2 linked regions of the Cricetulus griseus genome follow. The protein of the gene in region 2 interacts with the protein of the main gene of each other region in a pairwise test. Links are inferred from orthologs where the notes say so. Each region holds a gene or a part of one and is shown on either strand. Other genes may lie near its edges.

Region 1 (10,648 bases), on a different chromosome or scaffold from region 2:
TTTCTTTCTAGGGCTGTTAGTAAATGGGAACCATGACAAAGTTTACATTAGCAGACACATACACATGCCCTGGCCTATAAATATCCCATGATGGAAAATGGAACAATTGCTGCAGTCCTGGTGAAAATGTGCATAAAGGAGAAGAGGAAGGTAGGGGGACATTAGCAACAATGGTTCTTCTAACAGTGGAAAACTCAGACCCAATGGCAACGTGCTTTCAACTAACAAGACATCTTGAGCCACTTTTTCAGGCCTATGAGTTAGACAAGAGTAGGTGGAGCACAGTCTCCTTCCAGCAAACCTGACAGGGTATAGCCAAACTCGTGTGCTGTCTTGGAAATTGGGTGACGATCCCCCAGCAAGTCATTTTGTAGGTGAGTGGGGAGGAATTTCAAAATCAGATTTGGAAGCTGTTTGCACACTGTCCTGCCTGGGATGCTGAATTGTCCCCCGGTCGGACCCCTCAAAGCGCCAGCTGGAGTTTGGTCATGTTTCTCTGGTGCATGTTGTGATGGCGGACTAATTCGTCTGACCGAGCAAACTTTTTCTGACAACTGTGCCACCGACAGCTGAAGGGCTTTTCACCTGTTGACACAATTGCCAGTTAGAGACACTTGCAGCAGAGTGACTGGGCACAGGTTCAACTATCAAAGGCCCGAGCTAAATCACCATAAGACACCCGCCCTGGACTCCCCTGGGTCATTCCCTAAGCTAACCAACTGGCTCTTCACTGGCAGCCTGGGATTAGCAATGCCTTTTGAGGGCTTGAAAACCAGAAGCACTATAAGCATAATAAAATAGAAAACTTGGGAAATGAGAGAGAAATCTAGTTTGTGGAAATCTCTAAGCAACTCATAAATTAAGGGGGTTTAGGAAACTTTGTCTCATCTCAAAGGACACTCTGTGACCTGTGCAAATGTTTCCCCATTGCTGTCTAGGTGGGAGCTGGCTGCAAAGGTCTGAACCATCACCCTGGATACTGTTGATTGATGGCTACTCTGGATCACTATCCTAGATACCATTGACTGATGACTGGTCATCAATAGATCTGGGACTGAAGCTTTATTATCTCCACATAGATGATTTAAAGTAAATCATGGCTACCAGTTTGTATCCTATTTGCTTCTTTTTAGTGCAAATGATGACTCAGAACAAGCCTGTGTTAGAGACAAGATTCTGGTTGCAACATTAGTTCCACCAAATGATTAAAACTGCTCCATCTTAGGCACTCTCATTAAAGACAATAGATATCTTGTATGTAATGCCTTGTATGTTTCTTAAAACAGCCTCACAAAGAAATGTTATCTTCACTCTCAGACAAAGTTGCATGGCTATTGCAGACAGAGCCAGGCAGGATTCAAACCCAGGCATGTCTAATCCTGAAGCCTACACTCATCCCTATGTCACACCCCTTAGGGCTTGCTGAGGAAAATGCCACAGGGGCTAAGCCCTGTGCCACCTGGAGGGTCTTCCTAGGATACTGATGGTTCCAATAAGAAATGTCCCAAGAGATGTGGTGTTTTGAGGCCAGACTGGGTGGCATTAAGTAGTTTGTTGGTGGCACAGGTTTGCAGACAATGAGGTGTGCAGGAACAATCTCCAGACTATGAGTTTGGGACTAAAAGGCAATATGTCAAAAATACCTGAAGGAGACTGAGACTTATATCTTGTCAACCTGGGGCACGGTGCTTTGACGGTATCCTAAGGTATAACCTGTCTGTGCTGAAGACTGCCATGGCCTTCTCACCTCCTACTCACTGTCCATCTGCTTTTCCTGATCTGGTTCCTGCCTGCCACTTTCACCTCCTCATGGGTACTTTTCAGCTCTTTCTCATACTGGTCCCTCCAGTGGCACTCAGCTTGGCTATTATTCTGTCTCTCTCCTCAATTCCCTGGCTTCCCAGGATGGCTATTTGGGCACATGTTTATTCTCCAAGAGAAAGAACAATAAGGATGAGGTGGGACCAGAACAGTGACCACTGAGATTGCCATCCAGTTGTTTTGAGGCTCTGGGTAAATCATTTGATCACTACCCATTATAGGCTCATCTGTTAAATGAGGACTAAAAACACCTCCCTGCTCTAGTTCCTACGATGCTGGAAAGATGAAGAGCTAACCTATGAGACAGTTCTGCTTTCTAAGGAAGCTCATATGCCACAAGGGCAGTTTTTACTACGAATTTCATCAGCCTTGTGGACAGTGCTTCAGCAGCCAGTCACTATGCCAATGCCCCATTCTCCTCTCTGTGCTAGTATAAAAGAAGTATGTCCATGAGTTTCTGTTAAACTGGAAGAAACCTAGAATTCTTGTGGAGCTTTATGTAAACACGTTCCAATCAGAACTGTGAAACATGAGCTCTCAGGAGAATAGAATATCTTGAATTTCTGGTCACGCTATAGGGTTGACCAGAATACAGCAAACTGGGGATGGTGGGGATGAACTTATCTTCCTGCCTTTGTTCTGAGCCCATTGGACTTTCTCCTCCCATCTCTTTTCTACTCAGTGCTCTCTGGCCCTTTATTTGAAAAATGTTATCATTTATCATGTAAAGATAGCTAGACATTCTCTAAATGGAATTGCAACTCTAGAATTTTTCTATGACTCTCATTACAGTTTCATTCAACAGTATCTTAAAAATAATGAAAAATAAATGTGAAGAAAAGTTTACGCACTTGTTTTACCTGTATGAGTCCTGGTGTGGGTCTTCAGGTGGTCGGACCGGGAAAACTTTCGCTGACAAGTTTTACACTGGAATGGTTTCACACCTAAACGGACAGAGAAGGTCTAGCCTCGGCCCTAACAATGTGGGGCATAGTGAGACACATAAGGCCAGCTTCCTGGCAGCTTGAGAAGCCTGGCATATCCATCACATCGGCAAGGTCTGTGTCTACCTGGACCTCACATTTCCTTGATCCCCAGGCCCAGCAGAAGTCACCTGATTCTGGTCAGCAACCTCCAGGTGCTGCTCCTGACTTGGGAAAAAAACATTTCCTAACCACCAACATCCAGTTCTCACCAGCAGACAAGTGTTAGAGACTGAGGAAAGTGGATCACTGCAAGCCAGCTTCTCTTCTTCATCCTGGCTCCTAACTGAACATCAGTGGACCACCAGCCTGCTGTGGCATCTCCCTTGTGCTGTAGTTCTCCTAAGAAATGTGAACCATTTCCTTTCTTTTCTCTTTCTCCTTTGTAAAGAAAGACTTAATTTTTTATCATTTATGTGTGTCTCTGTGTGACTGTATATCATGTGTTTACAGTGCCCTTGGAGGCCAGAAGAGAGTGTCAGATACTCTGGAGCTATGGTTACACACACTGCCTGTTGTGGATGCTGGGAACTGAACCTGAGTCCTCTTGAAGAACATGTGCTCTTAACTGCTGAGCTATCATTTCCACAGCCCCTTTCCTTTTCAAAAGACAAGTCTCCATATGAGGGGAAGAAAGTTGGGAAAATTAAACAGATAGATAGATAGAGTACCCTCTCATCCGTGTTCTACAGAGAAGACAGCACAAAGTCAACTCTAACCGAAGGGCTTGTGACTTCTGGCAATGAGAAGTTAACCTACAAACCTGTGTGTCTCCTTTGGTGTCTTTTGAGCTGGTCTGAGCGAGAAAACCTTCTCTCACAGTCCTTGAAGTCACACTGGTATGGTTTCTCACCTTAGGGAAAGACATATGTTGTTTCTGAGTACAAAGCTGGAAATCGGACAGGCAAGTCCTCCTAAATGCAGATGAAGGGATCCCAAAATTCCCAAAGCATTTCAGGGGAGTTTGTTAGGGTAGCACTATAGACTTCCAGGAAGATGAAATCCCACTTACACACAAGTCCATGGACACAGGGAGTAGGGAAGAAGGATACTCTGGCATTTAGGATGTTGGCTGAGGCACTGTCCAAGGGTTCATGAACAGATTAGACCAGACCATCCCTGTAGCGGGCAAGACTGGTGCCTCACACTGAGGCAATGCTCAAAAAACACATATATTAGCAGGGACTATTTTAAAAAGGAAAAAAAGAAAAGAAAAAAGTTATGACTCCTTGGTTGAATCTGAGATAGAATTTTGGATAGATGTGCCTTGAGACTGACCATGTGAATTAAGTGTTTCATGTTTTACAGCCTGAATATTTGGTGCTCTCTGCTACTGACTTCCTGTTCTCTGACACCATGGAGTCCAACATAAATGACTCCATGGTGGTGAGACACCCCAATTAAATCAGAAGTAGATGCATTTAGCAAGACTGTTGTCCTTTAATCTGCAACGAGTCAGCAGTAGGGTTGTGCAACTCTGGACTCAGAGAAGAAGGGCCACACCCCTGTGGCCAAGGAAAACTTCAGCCAAACATGACAGAATAGCCCCCGGAGTGCACTGAGCTTCTGCGAGTGTTCCCACCTCCTGGAATTCTGAGTCACTGGATTCTGGGACAGAGAGCAAGCTACTCGGAGGTCAGTGGATTCTGTCCTTTGATGGACAGCTCCAAGTTGCCTTTCCTGCTCAGGACCTCTGATGCTTCCCTGGTCTTTCCATGTGTCTGGTGTAGCTGATCTCACCATCCTGAGCCCTCCTCACTCAACACCCTTCATCTTATGCTCCCATTCCTACCCATCAAAGTGTTACTCGCATACCCCTCACAAATGCCAATGCTATCTTATGGTTTGAATATAAACCATCATCCATTTGATGTGTTGGTCTCAGGCTCATAGTGCCATTTTGAGAGGTGGTGGAACCTTCAGGAAGTGTAACCTGACAAGAAAAGGTGGGCATGGGCCTTAAGGCTTGGAAACTTAATGGCCTTCTTTACTCCAGAATTAATTCCAGAACATCTAAGTGTATATTTGAACCTACTCTTCGAGGTTTATGGTGACTTTGTCCTTCATGCTCTGAACCATCTGATTGTACTATCCCAGATGTGTCTTCCCTGCTAAAGATGCTAATAGTCCCTCAGAAATCACGCTACCTTTCATTCAGGCCTAGAGACACAGGGTCCTATGCTACAACTCTTGTAGTATAATTTGATTCCTTTTCCTCTAGGCTTAAGAATTGCACAGTGTAGGCACTATCATCTTCATTGTCCATACAAAGTACTTGGAGTTCAAAGGGACGTTGAGCAATTGGCTCAAGGTCTCACCAGTTGGCGGTGAATACAACTTTCAAACTCATGTCATTTTTCTTCTATGGCATTTGCTTTCCACCACCCTGTTCTGCTTTCCTGAAGACTGCTTACTGATTTCACTAATAAAAGATGGGAAACCCTCATGCAAACAACCCTGCAGCTTTGGCCACTGTAGCCTGACCTTTGAAAGTGCCAGCCTTCCATCCCACAAGTCACCTGTGTCCTTAGCAGTGTGAGAGTCCAGAATGAGAGTTCATGAACCACCATTACTCGAGTCTGGACAGTGGACACACTTACCAGTGTGCTTCCGGCTGTGCATCTGTAAGTGGGACAGCTTAAAATATCTCTTATTGCAGCCCGGGTAGGCACACATGAAAGGACGTTTCTCACTGGTCTCAGATGCTGAGCGGACAAGAGTTGGGGCCACTCCAGACACACGTCGTACATCCTGCAGGCAAAATATAAGAAGAATGGAGGCCTTGCCACATGTGAACATTCATATTAGTCCCATGGGAAGCTGAGCACTGAAATATATCTAAAGAAGAGAAGGCAGGTATGGCATGAGACCAAAAAGTGTTTGCCTCCATACCCTAGAAACCTGTGGCAGACATCACTAATTGATGATAGATAGGAAACTCTATGATGCAGTGTTCTGATGTCATTACTGCTGATCGCCAGAACTTGGATTTGAAATGAAACCTCTTTGGGGTCCCCAGCATAGAACCTCTAGAGAAGAAACATTAGTGTCAGGAGAAGTTCCCAATCTATCTCTCACTTGAGACTGTGAGGTCTAGAATCCAGAGTCCCAGACTGTATGTATGCCCTTCCCAATTAGAGACTTGGCCATGTGATTATGGACTCAATGAGAAAATGGATAAGAGCTGGGTGGTGGTGGTGCATACCTTTAATCTCCGCACTCGGGAGGCGGAGTCAGTGGATCTCTGTGAGTTCAAGGCCAGCCTGGTCTACAAAGCTACACAGAGAAACTCTGTCTCAAAAACATCAAAAGAAAGAAAGAAAGAAAGAAAGAAAGAAAGAAAGAAAGAAAGAAAGAAAGAAAGAAAGAAAGAAGGAGGGGAGAGGGAGGAGAGGGAGGGAGGGAGGGAGGGAGGGAGGGAGGGAGGGAGGGAGGGAGGGAGGAAATGGATAAGAAAGTTCTTAGCAGAGAAAGACATGAGACACTGAGTGAGGCCCAAACTGACCTGAGATTCACATGTAAATAGAAGTAAATAAAGAAGTCTCTGGGTTTGGGGCCTCTGAATCCACCAGAATGCTGTAATACAGTCAGTGTGATCTTTAACAGTGACACAGGAAAACACTGGAAGCTATCTGCCTTCTGTGCTCTTTGCATGTCCTTCCCGAGACACCTACTGGTCCCTGTCATCTAGCAAGGGAGGCAAATCTCTTTTCTTGCCCTCAGGCTCAGTGATTCCTGGATAGCAGTAATGATTCCTCCTTATTCAATTACAGGTGTGCCCACCAGGACCAAAGAGATGATCTGCTGACACAGGAACACATCTGTGATGGTATAAAGATCTGGAACATCCACTAAGCCAGTTGTTCTCAACCTTCCTAATGCTACAACCCTTTAATGCAGTTTCTCATGCTGTGGTTACCCGAAGCCATAAAATTATTTTCATTGCTACTTCATAACTATAATTTTGCTACTGTTATGATTCATAGTGTAAATGTCTGATATGTAAACCCAAGGGTTGAGAACCACTGTTCTTAATAACTTCCTATGTCATTAGTCTTCTAATCTACCCACTCACATTCTTGTTCCTAGTTCACTTGCCTTGCCCTAGCAGGGCACTTTCTTTTTTGTAAGAAAAAGTTCTGTAGTGTCATACCATAAATACTGTATCGGTATGTCACAGTATGTCAACCATTTGCCTTTCTCCTAGGGTTAATGGTGGGATACAAGTAAATGGTAGGCCAGCGGTTTGTCATATTCTACAAGAAAAAGAGTAAGTAGGGAAACATATATAGGGTGTGGCATCTACTAAAGGCCCTGACAGTGGATCTGATAAACTGCATCTGGTGAGAAGGCAGGTGTATTAAGCCTCTTTCATCTCTTCTCATCCTAGATGAAGACTATGTAGGACTAAGACTGAAAAACAGCTACTACTGTCAGTGTGCAGTCTGGCGAAGGTGCTGATGATGTCTGTTGTGAGACACTCAGATGAAACTCTGTCACATCTCCACATTTCTGTGACTTGTTTATTTCTCACCATGGAAAGACTTGGGATGACAGAGCACACTGAATGCCATGAAGTGGAGCTCCTTGCCCATTCACATAGAGGCCAGCCCTTATGCAACTTATTTTTGGGTCTTAACCTCCCTTGAAAGGATACTCTAGCTACTTCTTTTGTGGCAGTCACTGAGTCAGGTTTGTAAGTCACAGATGTGAGTCCTTGGTAATTGTGGTTCTGACTACCCACAAGAGGTTTGGGATGGGGGTGGAGTCTCCCCTGAATAACCTACATTCTCTGAGATTCTTTGTTCACCCGGAAGACCTCTCTCTCCTGTTTCTTCTAACGAACAATATTATTTCATCTCCTCTAATAAACAATATTAAGAAGCAAAATAAAAATTGTGGAGTCTAATAAAATATATATTACAAATCTCAGCCCCCACTTACTATGTGGTTTTAGACAAGCCCCTTGTCTTCTCTCTTCAGTTTCCCCAACTAGAAAATGTCTACCTCTTAAGCTTGCAGCGGGGCCATATCAGAGAACAAAGACCATGTAATGGAATCATAAACACACATTACTAAGTCAAAGAAGTTAGCCTGAAAATGAAATGGAGTAGCCAGCAGTGTGAGAAAGGGACAGTGACTGTTGGGAATAGAGAGGGACTGGAAAAGGGCATGATGTACAGGTGGTGGAGTATGAGCATTTTTGAAACAGTAAACTACTCCATATAATAATAATAATAATAATAATAATAATAATAATAAATGGCATTCTACGTGTATCAAAACCCATAGGTCTATACAACAAAGCAATTCAGTTACCAATAATACACCAACATCCATTGTAACAAGTGTAACATTATGTGAAGGTGACAGCAGAAGGACATAGGAACACTATAATTTCTGTGCATATTTTGTGTAAACCTAGAAGCTACATAAACTCAGTGTTTTTAAAGTCTGTGTCTAAATCTCACTTCATAGAACATGTCCAGTCATAAGTGGTACTATTGTCGATGCTATTGTCAACACTTGGCAAGACAGTCTACCTTTGAGAACTTTACAATACAGATCAAATCTTAGAAGTCAAGGGTTCAGATCATTAATTCAAATGCATATGGCCCACATGCAATTGTACCACCCACTGTGGAGAAGCAGAACTAATAATAAAAGAGGAAGGATGGGATTGTGCAAGAAGTCTCTTGGTGGCAGTTAGACAAGGCAGCATCTCTGCCGGGGTGGAGTGAAAGGAGGAGCATCTCTGGTGACAAACCCTTGCCAGGGCCAGGTGGTCCAGCAGCAGACGCTGCAGGGCAGATGAGCAGAGGAAGAGTCAGTGAAGGCAGCCTTTGGCTGGGCATCCGGGCACTCACCTGAATGCCTCGGAAGACACCATGGGTGTGTATTCTGTACTGGGCACCACAGAGGATGGGGGTTGTGTGGTTCTCACTCTCATACCCTGTGCCGTGGCTGCAAACAAAAGGTTGAAGTTGGTTCAGGGCCACCTTTTGGAAATACAAAGTCTTACCTTCTTCCACAGGGTCACTCTGGAAAGGAGCTCGGTGAAAGCAGAGGCCATTACACCGATGTGTTACCATCTTGCAGCCACCACCACCCCTAAAAGTCACCCCCAGAGGCAAATTGTCTGGGTCTGTGCTTCATTCAGACAAGCCAAGAAAAGCCACAGCAGACGCACACCCCGGGAAAGTTGTTTACCATCTGAACAGCAGGCTGACAGTGTGAGTATCTCAGGAATGAGCAGAATGCTCCAGGCTGCATGTGAAGTCCACTGGGGTTCTGTCAGCACCTCATGACTCAGTTCTTACCAGATAGAACCAAGAAAGTGATGACATTTACAAGAAGAGATGTCACGTCCTCAGAAGGGGGTGGGGGGTGCGCGTCTGTGGCTCCACTCAGTCCCCTGATCAATTTTCCAGAGCAAGTTAACAGTGTGTGTGTGGGGGGGGGGGCTTTATGTGGCTATATGTGAATGTGCATTTGGAGGGCCTGAATAGACCCCTGTGTCTTCCTTGGTCTCTCTCCACCTTATTTTTTTATGACAGGGTCTCTTACTGAACCTGGAGCTTACCAGTTCAGCTAGGCTGGCTGTACAGCAATCCCCAGGGATCCCCATCTCCACTTCCTGGGTGCTGAGATTACAAGCACTCCTGGATTTTTTTATGTGGATTCTGTGGGGCTGACCTAAGGTCTTCATGTTTGCCAGCAAGTAGTTCTCTGACTGAGCCATCTCCCCACCCTTAACTTTGAGGGCATCAAAGAATGCTGGACAATTGTCCGTCCATCATTCCAGGCTGACTCACCTCCTAGGAAATGTATTGCCCGGGGTAACTTGGGACCACAAGTAAGACCTGAGGGATGTGGAGCCTCAAAAAGAATAACCTGAAAAGCCAGAATGTTCTGCTCTGAAAAGACTCTCTCCTTCAGGTACAGTCCTGGAATTGTTTCTACAGTGATTTTATTTCCAATCCAGTCAGCACAAAAATTCTGGCCCACACTGGCAATATATACAAATTATAATGAGAGTCACTCTGGGGATGGTGATGAACCCGCTTTCATGCACATCTCTGTGAAAGGCAGCTACTTCAAAAACACTAGAAGTCACACACACACACACACACACACACACACACACACACACACACACACACACAAACTAGCTAAAAAGTGGCCATATTACCCAGAAATCCTGGGTGTATTCCTCAGAGAAATAAAAGCAGATGTCAAAAAAAAGACAACCCACTTATATATACTATTCTCTAGAAACATTCTTTATTCTCAAAAGCCAGAAATTAGAATCAACTCACCAATCAACTGATAGAATAAATAATGAAGTATACTCACATAGTGGAATGCCATTTGGCAAAAGAGGAGTGCAGTATTTATATGGTATAGTGAGTACAAAAGACCACATGCTGCAGAATTCTATTTACACAAAATGCCCAGAGTAAGCCAATGGATAGAAAGTAGCTTAGCAGTTGGTTGATTGCCTAGGACAAATTGAGTTGGGGAAAACATGGTTGTGATTACTGAAAATGTCCTAACTATGTAGGAACGGCCACACAAGTCTGTAACTTAATTAGAAACCATTAGATTGTACACTGTAAGTGGGGGAATTATATGGCACGGAAAATCAATAAAGCTCTTTTGAAATGTTTCATAGCAAGCTGAGCATGGCAGTGCACACCTATAATCCCAGCACTTGGGAGATGGAGACAAAAGGATCAGGAGTTTGAGACTAGCCTGGGCTACATGAGACCTTTTCCCAAACAAACAAACACACAAAATAATAACAACAATAAATTTTGTAGTAGCATCGTTAAAAGCCTCCA
Region 2 (10,648 bases):
ATTATGTTTTACATAATTATATAGAGACTACATGGAACCTGGGACAGTGGAATGTGTTGTATTATGGAATTTTTCACTTGCAACACAGAGCGCTCAGAAGTTTTTAATTTTAACACACTATGGCTCAAGGATGCTCAATCAATGCTTTAGTTTTAAGCATATACATAACCAACTTGGAATGAACTTGCAGAATTCTGTACAAAATACTAACAAAATGTAGTGTATGGGTGATGTAGAGCAACATGCTTAATGTACAGCATTACTAACTCTAATAAGCCTCATTTACGTTACCTCATAACATACATACATAACTGCAGGAAAACACTGCTGTAGTCTATTGCATTAGCAGATGCAGACACACATTTCTATGCATATACTTAAATACTGATAGGCCTTTTAAGATGTCCTAATGTAAAATGAGTTGGCTTTACTGTTGGCTTTCAGTCCTTCCCTAAAATGGCACATTCAACCACTTACAGAGAATTTACATGCTAGTGTGGCTCTCTTCTTCCTTTTCTGATCCCAATTCAAAACTAGAAAAGATCATTTCTGACTCTTTAACAAATAGTCAAGGGTACAGTTATAACCTGATGAAGCTGCACACACACACACACAAATCTCCATTATAAACCTTCAGATTATATACTGTAATATGGATTCACTGGATTACAAAATCTGCAAAGCATGTCTCAGGGCAGAGCACCTGCAGGTTGTGGCAGTGGGCAACACAGGAGGCAGGAAGGCCCTCAGATATCCACACTTCCTACTAGAGCTGAGCAATTCCAGGTCACTGTCATGTCACCAATGTTGAGTAAGCAGAAAGGACAGTATATCACTAGACAGATTCAGAAAACTCAGAAAGAGCTATTGTTTGAAAATGTCTCTAATATCTCACCAATAAAAATTCAATGTTTAGTAAGTGACTGATTTGAAGTAGCAGACATGCCAAGGGAAGGAGAATGGCAAGCCCAGTAAGGCCATTCACACTTTCTGCAGAATTATATTTATTACCTTTCCTAAAGCCTTATTTAATCTATAAGCATAAATAATATCAGCAATAAAACATACCAGCAACACAATAATAAAGACATGGGATATAATTTAGGCTCAATAATCAAACTTTCTTGAGCAAATTACTAATTTTCATGAACCCAGTTTCACTGATCAAGCACCCAGCATAGCTGGTGGGACTGCAAACGTCATGTATGCAGTTATTCAGTCACTTCTCCCTGTGTCCTAAGAAGGATTGCCCTCTGCAAACTTGAAAAGGTTGAGAAGGGGCACACATGAGCAAAGTTGGAATGTGAGAACGCCCAATTGTGGAGGAACAAGGGTGCCAGGTCTAGAGGACCCTAGCTAGCTAAATGTCAAAGGAGCTATTCTGAGCAAGAAGCAGAGGAAGGGAAGAAGAAAGAGTCCTAATAACTACACAACAATTAGGAGCACACAAGTGAAACACACGTTACGTCTGTGAGACTGTACCCAACTGAGTGTACACAAACAAAACAAGCTAGTACCTGAACAAATAAATGATATTTTGCTATCTTCTCTATTCAGGATAATTAAAATCTCATGAAACTTCAATGAATAAAGTAACTTATTTGCCAAAATGGTTTTCCTTTTTGAAATGAACAATGAAAGATGCTAAATTCCCCAAACCATCTATGGCCAAGGAAGTGATTCAGTGGAAGATAAAGCCCTGGGTTCAGTCTTCAGCACTAAAAAAGTCACTAGCAACAGCTGAACTGTGAACACCTGGGTTAATAGTCAAAGATAAACCAAAAGCCTCTTGATCTCTTGTATTTCAGAGTGCTAAAAGCTTGCTAACATAGATTGTGGTTGAGGTATGATACTCTTTATAACATGTACCCCACAGTCCCTGCAGCCAAGGACTCCATGTGTGGCAACTCAACCCTGAAAACAAACTCAGAAGAGGCCGTGTGTTTAAGGCTGTCTCCTCAACTCCAAGAGGTGCCATAGGATGGATCTCCACACAGCACTGTCACGACACCGTCATTCTGTCTTGATGTCAGAAAATCTTCAGGACCAGTTAAAACTCAGTTACAACTTTTATTTTTGTTTCTGTTAAGTCTACAATTCTGTTCATTATCAACTGTAACTAATTTATCTACAACCTCTCAATCTTTAAAATTTTTTTAGGCTATTTTTTGGGTATGAGTGTTTTGCTTGCATGTACATAGGTGTACCATATGCATGCCTGGGGCCTGCAGAGGTCAGAAGAGGGTTTTGAACCCCCCAGAATGAGAATTATGGATGGCTGTGAACTATCAAGTGGGTACAGGGCAACAAACTCAGGTTTCCTGCAAGAACAAGTACTTTTAACCAAGGAGTCCATCTCTGCAGCTCAAAGCAATCATTTTTTACACAACAGCCTAACCATACTAAAAACAATGCTTTTGTTGTTTCTGTTTGTAAAGACCTGTAACAGCACCCTAATCCTAATCACTTAGCGTAGAATGTGAAGCCTTTGAAAAGGTGTGCTGAAGTTTGCCAAAGTCTGCCTCATCTGTATTGTTTTTCTTTTTTCTTTTTATGGTTTTTCAAGGCAGGGTTTCTCTGTGTAGCTTTGGATCCTGTCCTGGAACTCACTCTGTAGACCAAGCTGGCCTCGAACTCACAGAGATCCACCTGCCTCTGCCTCCCGAGTGCTGGGATTAAAGGCATGCGCCACCAATGCCTGGCTTGTATTGTTTTTCTTTTGATGCTTTTTTGGAAAGATCCATGCTCTGTAAGCCAGATAGGCCTAGAAGTGCTAGCCTTGAACTCACAGTAATCTTCCTGCCTTACCCTTCCAAATGTTGGGGTTACATGCATAAGTGACCACATTCAGCTCATTTTAACCAGATTAAAAACATGCCTTTTTTGATACTTTTCCTGGTTCCTTAAGAAATAAAATATGTATATTTCAATTTTTATTTTAAAAAAATCAAAAACTTCTCTTATTGACTGTATGTATATATGTGCAGGAGTATTTGTGTGTTGGCATGCTTATAATCAAAGGATAACTTTGGGGAGTTGGTTCTCTCCTTCCACTGTGTGGGTTCCAGGGATGGAACTCATGTCCTCTGGCTTGGCAGCAAACGCCTTTTCCCCATGAACCAGCTCCAAATCCTTAATTCAAAATAGGATACCCTTATGGTTTATGACAAATTTATCTACTCATCTAACATACTGAGCCCACACCATGTGCTAAAGGAAGTTCCTAGTTTGGGACACAGCATGGAAAACACATGTCTGCTACCCTCAAAGTGAACCAGGTCTGCTACAAAGTCTTGATGACCTTAGTTGAAAGTAGGCTTTTTTCTTTGAGTTTAAACTCTAAGTGTACATGCTTACTTGGCAACTGATAAGGTATGGAGTCCATGTGGGTGCTGCATCTATTGCTAAAATTAGAACTTCAGCCTTTTAAGGGTAGGATGGTATCTATGTTTCTTATGAAAATTACTTGTGACCCAACAGTTGCTCAAATTGTTGCTCTGATTGAAATGGTGCAAGGAAAAATGAAGAGTGCATGTATTCTACATCATGGTAAATTTATCTTATCACTCAGAGAAAAATATTTACAATGAAGGACTAAGGATTGGATTAAATGAACTTCGGTCAGTCAGAAACTGCTAAAACCATAAACAGAGAAAGCCCTTTGACAAATCAAGAGACTAGAAAAGCCTCATCATGCAATGAAAGGGCTGAAGTAGAAAAGAAAAAAAAAAAAAAATCTGATCTAAAACCACAATTTCAAGTTTTACTTTCATTTCCAAAGAAGGAAGGGAGAAACCACTGTTCTTATTGTTAAGTTTCTGAAATACAGGCTATTATTTAAACACAATCTTAAAAACATAGATGTTTTAGGGGAATTCAGAATAGGCAAAGCAACTAACCTCATTAATTCCTCCACTTTATCATCTACATCTAGGTCCTCTTCTGAGGCTTCAAAGCTATATGACCTCTGACCCATGCTGTTTACATGGTAGCGAGATGGCGACATCTTCCCATTGGATGTGGACAATCGATCGTTGTTCTCCCTCCCATTTTGATTGGTAGTGCAAGGCTGTGGGGAGGTATCATAACTGTTGCTGGGTGATGGGGACATTCCGGAGTGCTGGGTCTGCGTGGAAGCTGTGGCTGTAGAGGAAGATGCTGGAACATTGTTGGTACTGTTCCCATATGAGCTTCCCCCGTAGCTGGACCTCCTTCCAAACTTATCACTATGTTCTTGATCAAGACGGTCCAAAGTTTCTAATGCATGGAGAATTTCATGTTTGGTCATCCCAGTACGCCGAAGACGTTGGAGTAGATCTATCTGTTCTATGGTAAATCTGGGTTCATCTGTATAGTGAGACATGGTTTCCAGCAAACTGGGGGGGAGGGAGGGGAGAAAAGGATAAAAATGAAGTGCCTTTATTGTCATCTAACAAAACCATTTCCCCATCAAGAATCCTCAGCAGAAGAAGCTTGATCTGAGCACCATCGGGATAGGGAGATAGCTCAGTCAAGTGTTTGTTGTGTAAGCAGGGGTACCTAAGTTCAACCTCTTGCACCAATGCAAAAGCTGAGAGCAGCAGCACATGACAGGAGTTCTAGCATTAGAGAGGTGAACACAAGATCTTTGGGGTCAGTCAAGCAAATCAGTGAGCTGTGGTTTCAGTGAGAGAACCTATCTCAAAAAATAAGGTGGAGAGCAACTGATGAAGACACCCAATGTCCACTTCTGGCCTCCACATGCATTCATATACATATTAGTATACACATATACACATGCCCACACACCAACAATAACAACAACACACACTAACAATAATAACAAAAGAAAAAAGACATGAGTCCTATCAGACTTTTTTGTTGTGACTTGGATTGGTACAGATTCTGAGTTTAGTAGAGTGCATCAGTTATAACATAAAACCCAACTTATAATGGGATAAAGTTTATGTTTTTCAGTTTTGGTAACCAACCAAACTTTGGAAGCAAAATGTTAATTATATCAGGATACCAATTCATAAGGTAAAATACATATAGTGCATTAGGCTCAGACTATGTGATAATGGACAATTTTTTCAATTTTGAAACATATTGTTTTATACTAGCATATTAGTGGGAAATTGCTGGAAAAAAGTTTATCTTGCTTTTCAAAATATCAGTAAAACTGAAAAGAACTCTTAGGTCGTATAGTGAAAAATGTTCAGACTGCTTGGCTGAGTCTAAGTGAATACTAGTAACGAGAACATTTCTTTTTTGAGACAGGGTTTCTCTTTGTAGTTTTGTAGACCAGGCTGGCCTCAAACTCACAGATATCTGCCTACCTCTGCTTCCTGAGTGCTGGGACTGAGGCATGTGTCACCACTGGCAACTTTAGTGGAGGATAAGAGCAGCACACACAACAACAAACCAAGCACTGCTTCTACTTCTTAGCAGTCTCGTGAGCTTCTCATTGAGCTCTCTGAGTGGATCCCTCATGTGTTCAGCCAACTAGAGCTATCTGTATCTTGAAAATTGGTTCTACATGTTTCCACCTCAACTAGAACAAGACAATATCACACACCAGGAAATATTTTCTTTTTCTTTATACATTAACCAATTTATTATATGACAGAGAGCGAGTGAGTGAGAAATAGAAGAGAGGAGAGGCAGAGAAAGAGGCAGAGAGAGAAGCGAAAAGAGAGAAGAGCCAGAAAATGTTTTCTTAAGAGAGAAACTTAATATTTTGTTTAAGACATTAGCCACATCAAAAAATGGTTTCTCCTTGAATTACTTTTTTTAAAACTAAAAGCTGACTTTAAAAAAGATTTACATATTTGTCTTTATTATTTTGTGTTGAGTGGTAGTCTACATATCCCTATGCATGCAGTGCAGAAGCAGCCAGAAGAGGGCAGTGGGTGTCCTGGAATTGGAGTTAACAAACAGCTTTGTAAGTTGTCCTGTGGAGGCTGAAAACACAACCTGGGGCTTCTGGAAACACATGAAGAGCTCTCAACTGCTGAGTCATCTCTCCGACCCCTAAAATCAGACTTTTGAATTCAGGATTTCTGAAAGTGATAACCATCTTTATTTTAATAGTATTTTCTAGTGACAGATGTATGTGGCATGGATCAGCTTTCATGAAGCATGAGTTCTAATAGGTCTTAATAATAAAAGCCCATAGCCGGGCATTGGTGGCGCATGTCTTTAATCCCAGCACTTGGGAAGGCAGAGGCAGGAGGATCTCTGTGAGTTTGAGGCCAGCCTGGTCCCCAGAGCGAGTACCAGGATAGGCCCAAAACTACACAGAGAAACTCTGTCTCAAAGAACATAAATAAATAAATAAATAAATAAATAAATAAATAAATAAATAAATAAATAAATGCCCATAGCCAGATGAGATATCAGGGCAAATGCTGAAAGATCAGAGAGAGAAAAGAGCAAGTCACAGCCAACTCTTACCTTGCTAACTCCTGATCCTAAAGAGACAGAGTTCCTGTTTTCTCCTACCTCATATTCCTCTCTCCCCAGCCATATCACTTCCTGTCTGTCTGTACAGACCTCCAAACCTCTATGGTTAACTAGTGGCTAGCTCCACCCTCTGATCTGCAGGCAAGCTTTATTTGTTAATGTATAAACAAGATATCACCACATCCTCAAATAAACAATTGCTAAGAGAAACAGTGGTCAAGAAATTTCCTTCTCCATGAAAGAAAAATCCAATTGAACAGTCACTTTTACTAAGAAGTTGGGCAAGAATTTCATATAGTACATAACATAACCTCGCCTAGTCCTCATAGTGAGTCTCTGTAATAGATACGATTTATTTGTTTTGTTTTAATATTATGTTATGAACTATGTTATGTTATTATGTTAAGGAAACTGAGGCTTAGGATACCTTTGTACCTTTTAGGAAGTCAAAGGCCACCCTGGTGGTACAAAGATAACAACTTTCAGAGACCATCTGGAAAACAGACCGAGTTCAAGGCCATGTTGTAATTTAGTGAGACCTGTCGTAAAATAAAACTTAAGTAGTCTTTAATAACAGTTCACATTCTTGTTTGTGTTTTGTTTTGGTTTTTTAAGGCAGAGTTTCTCTGTAGCTTTGGTTTAGAGCCTGTCCTGGAACTAACTCTGCAGACCAGGGTTGGTCTTGAACTCACAGAGATCAGCCTGCCTCTGCCTCCCAAGTGCTGGGATTACAGGCATGTACCACCTCTGTCTGGCTCTTTTTTTGTTTGTTTACTGAGATACTTCTCTGGCTCCTTTTTTTTTTTTTCTTTAAATGGTTGCCAAGCCAAAATAATTTACCCCTGAATTTACTGGCTTCGAAAATTCCAATTCCCCTCATAATTATTTTTTTATCTTCATAGTTACTTTTCTTTGAAAATAAAAGGCCTGTTTTGTTATCTTCAGTCCTCATCCAATCAAAGTATTTGGAAAACTGTTCTTCCCTTAGATGCCTAACTTTAAGAACTATTTTATCTATGTGCACCAAAGTTAACCATGCTTTCCTATCGTGTTCACTCAGCGCAGACCGTAAGTCATGTACTGCTCTTCAAGCCTCTGTGATACAACACTGGCTATTAGCATAAAACTTCACAGTACCTGAAATATTTTATACCATTTAGGATCCACTAAGACTAGAAAAACATTTTTATTCAAGTATCAAAAGGAAGGAAACAGGGTCCCCCTATTACTTTGATTGCCCATAAGACCTAATCATGTGTTCTTGGGTCAGCTCTTCACAGAAATCAACTTCTGGTGAACAGGCTGCCATAGGAATTGAAAGTTGGCTCTCTTTAAAATGTTCTCCTTATACTACAGTAAGATGGACAGTAAGTTTAACTGTTCTAAGCCACAGGAAGTCTTTCGTGCAGCAGGAGTTGCAGGGAGAATAAAGCAGGTGACCAAAAAAATTGCAGAGAACAAGAGGAAAGCCTTGCAGCATCCTCTTGTTGTCCCTGTAATTCTTAAGCCACTTAAACCTTGGTCGTCTTTCGTTTTGTGAAACAAACAACTTCCCTTTATTATTCACTGTGTTTAAATAGGATGTCTGTAATTTGTACCAAGAGCAGCCCCTGCTGCCAAGAGAGCTACAACAGAGGTCTCAGTTGCCAGGATCAAACGAGTGACTTAGAGGAAAAGGATACTGGCATCTTGAGCAGGATCACATTGTGCACATGACATTGAAAATACAGTATGTTACCAAGAAAAACAAAAACACTCAAGTGATTAGAAGCTCTCGTGGATATTGAGAATACTATGCCGTGCATCAATCCACACGATGGGAAGTGTTATGCCATTTTCCATTTGTACTTCTCATAATTTTCCGAGTGTAAGCACAGCTTCATAAAATAACAGCAGCACATGACCTGTAAAGGTCATCTAGGTCCATAATGCCAGCAATCATTACAGGACAAAGGAAGATGAGATGGAGGGGCTACATTATTTTTCTCAAGCACAATGATCACTCACAGGATAAGGGGAAGTTTTGCTTTAAATTACTGATTTGAATGCAGGCTCCAGCCAACAGTAATTGAAAATAATATAACAATTTTGACACTTGAATAATACAGATAAAGATTAGAATAGAAAAGAACAATTCAGGTCAGGACTTACAGCTCAATTCCTAAACTAATACTGTAAGACCACAGTACATTTTGGGATATTAACCATATTTTGCAATACACCTAAAACTTTTCTAGATAAGCCACAAGGCCTGGGATATACCATTATAAATGATATTCCAAAGACGGAGAGCAGAAGAGTCTAGCTAAAGCATCCAGAAAGGATTAACTAGCACTGATATCAAAGGGGCAAAAAAAACTATACGAACTGTAAAGTATCAACAGTTAAGTATTTCTGGCAAACAAAAGTTTTCTCCCGGATTATTTCTACTGTTTCTATGTGTCCAGAATGACTAGGAAGAACCATTTTGCTTTGTATGATCACTGTAGTAGGAATCAAACATCCCAGGCCCTTCTTATTTATATACATAAACCCTTCTTGGTTATTACTACCATTGAAGAAGCGGCTTCAAAATAAGAAAATTACATGTAAGAGTAAGTAAGAATGTTTTACAGGGAACTGAACTTTTGAGTAGAGTAAAATGATTCTATAATTCAAATTATTAGGTAAACTGACTAAAGCCTAAGAATAGTCTATGACTACAGACCATGAGACAGAGCCTTGCTACAAAGCTCAGGCTGGTCTTGAACACAAGCTCCTTCTGCCTTGGTGTCCCAAGTACTGAGATTATAGGCCAGAGAATATTAAATCTCATCAGAGTCCTGTGCATAAGGATCAGGAGTCAATACCCATCCACTTGAGAACCCTCCCTACTTTTGAGAATGTTAAATTAAACCTCCCCAGGTCCTCTAGTAAGTTGCTGACTAGAAGTACTAGCCTTCAAAAACTTTACGTTTGACAGACATTTTGAAGACTTTGCAGTTTCACTTGCCTACTAGTATCAGCAGTGCCCTAAGCCATCAAGTGCTAAAAAAGAAAGAAAAGGGGCTGGAGAGATAGCTCAGTGGTTAGGAGCACTGACTGCTCTTCCAGAGGGCCTGGGTTTAATTCCCAGTAACCACATGGCAGCTAACAACTGTCTGTAACTCCAAAATCTGACCCTCTCACACAGACATACATGTAGGCAAAACACCAATGCAAATGAAATAAATTTTAAAAAAAGAAAAACAAAAAAACAAAACAAAATCCTCATTGCTGTTTTCATTTGGCAATACATTCTTTAATATTTTGCTTTTATTTTAATTAAACGAATTACTTAAAAAAAAGTGTGACAATAATGTATATATACAATGCCCTGACTACTGTGTTAATGTCACAGAAAACAGCACCCCACCACACTCCTCTCTATTCTGTGGTTCCCACAGTCCTACTTCCTCTCTTCAATGTCTGGGCCTTGGAAGGCCTTGGAGGGGATGACATAGATGTTATGTTTGGGGCTAAGCATTCAGCAGTCAATCAAGGTAATCTCTATGTGTCCTTCATGACTTCAGGGACCTCTACTGTGAAGATCAAATGACATTATCACTACTGTAAAGGTACACCTGGTACCTTACTTCCCACAGAAACCAGTTATACACTAACTGAACAACTAAGCTTCAATAATTTAGGAACTCACTGTGCAGTTAAGATATGCCGCAACTGTACATTAAGGACAGTCCTCTGAGGTTTGTTCACATTTTACCCACTCCTCAAGAACTATAAACCTTTCCAAGTGTGGTGACACAAAAGGCTGAGGCAGAGGGATTGAGAGTTCAGGGTTACCCTTGGCCATGTAGCAAGTTTGAGGGCTGTCTGGGCTACACAAGACTCCGTCTCAAAAAACCAAACAGAACAGTGAACCTAAGTGGAGGGAGGGGTTTCTTTGTGTGCCAATGAATTGTGTGATTTGTGAAACTACTTTGATTATCTCTTTATTTTTACCACATACAAGAAAGACCTAATTAAAAACATTCAAGTTTATAAACAGAGAGATAAAAATTTGGTGTCAAAGAGCCAGATGTGGTGGTATACACCTACAATCCCACCACTCAGAAGGATGAGGCAGAATGTTTGTGAGTTTAAAGCCAACCTGAGGTATAGAGCAAGTTCCAAGTTATTTTAGACATAGTAAGAAGCCAGTCTTGAAAAAACAAGGATGGGAAAG

What was found. The genes of interacting proteins can lie anywhere in the genome.
Region 1: the proteins of Hmbox1 (region 2) and Wt1 interact in binary tests that used the Homo sapiens proteins (3 or more experiments, as listed by UniProt). The link is inferred for Cricetulus griseus from reciprocal best matches to the Homo sapiens genes HMBOX1 and WT1.

What each region holds. Positions count from the first base shown.
Region 1 is NC_048599.1:72,498,911-72,509,558, forward strand, and holds part of Wt1 (Wilms tumor protein), read right to left. Parts: intron 9,086-10,648; exon of another isoform or gene 9,015-9,085; intron 9,001-9,014; exon of another isoform or gene 8,878-9,000; coding exon of another isoform or gene 8,827-8,877; intron 8,769-8,826; coding exon 8,672-8,768; intron 5,556-8,671; coding exon 5,405-5,555; intron 3,658-5,404; coding exon 3,568-3,657; intron 2,766-3,567; coding exon 2,673-2,765; intron 586-2,672; coding exon 464-585; 3' UTR 1-463. UniProt on the Homo sapiens protein: Transcription factor that plays an important role in cellular development and cell survival. Recognizes and binds to the DNA sequence 5'-GCG(T/G)GGGCG-3'. Regulates the expression of numerous target genes, including EPO.
Region 2 is NW_023276807.1:219,919,808-219,930,455, forward strand, and holds part of Hmbox1 (homeobox-containing protein 1), read right to left. Parts: intron 4,377-10,648; coding exon 3,900-4,376; intron 1-3,899. UniProt on the Homo sapiens protein: Binds directly to 5'-TTAGGG-3' repeats in telomeric DNA. Associates with the telomerase complex at sites of active telomere processing and positively regulates telomere elongation.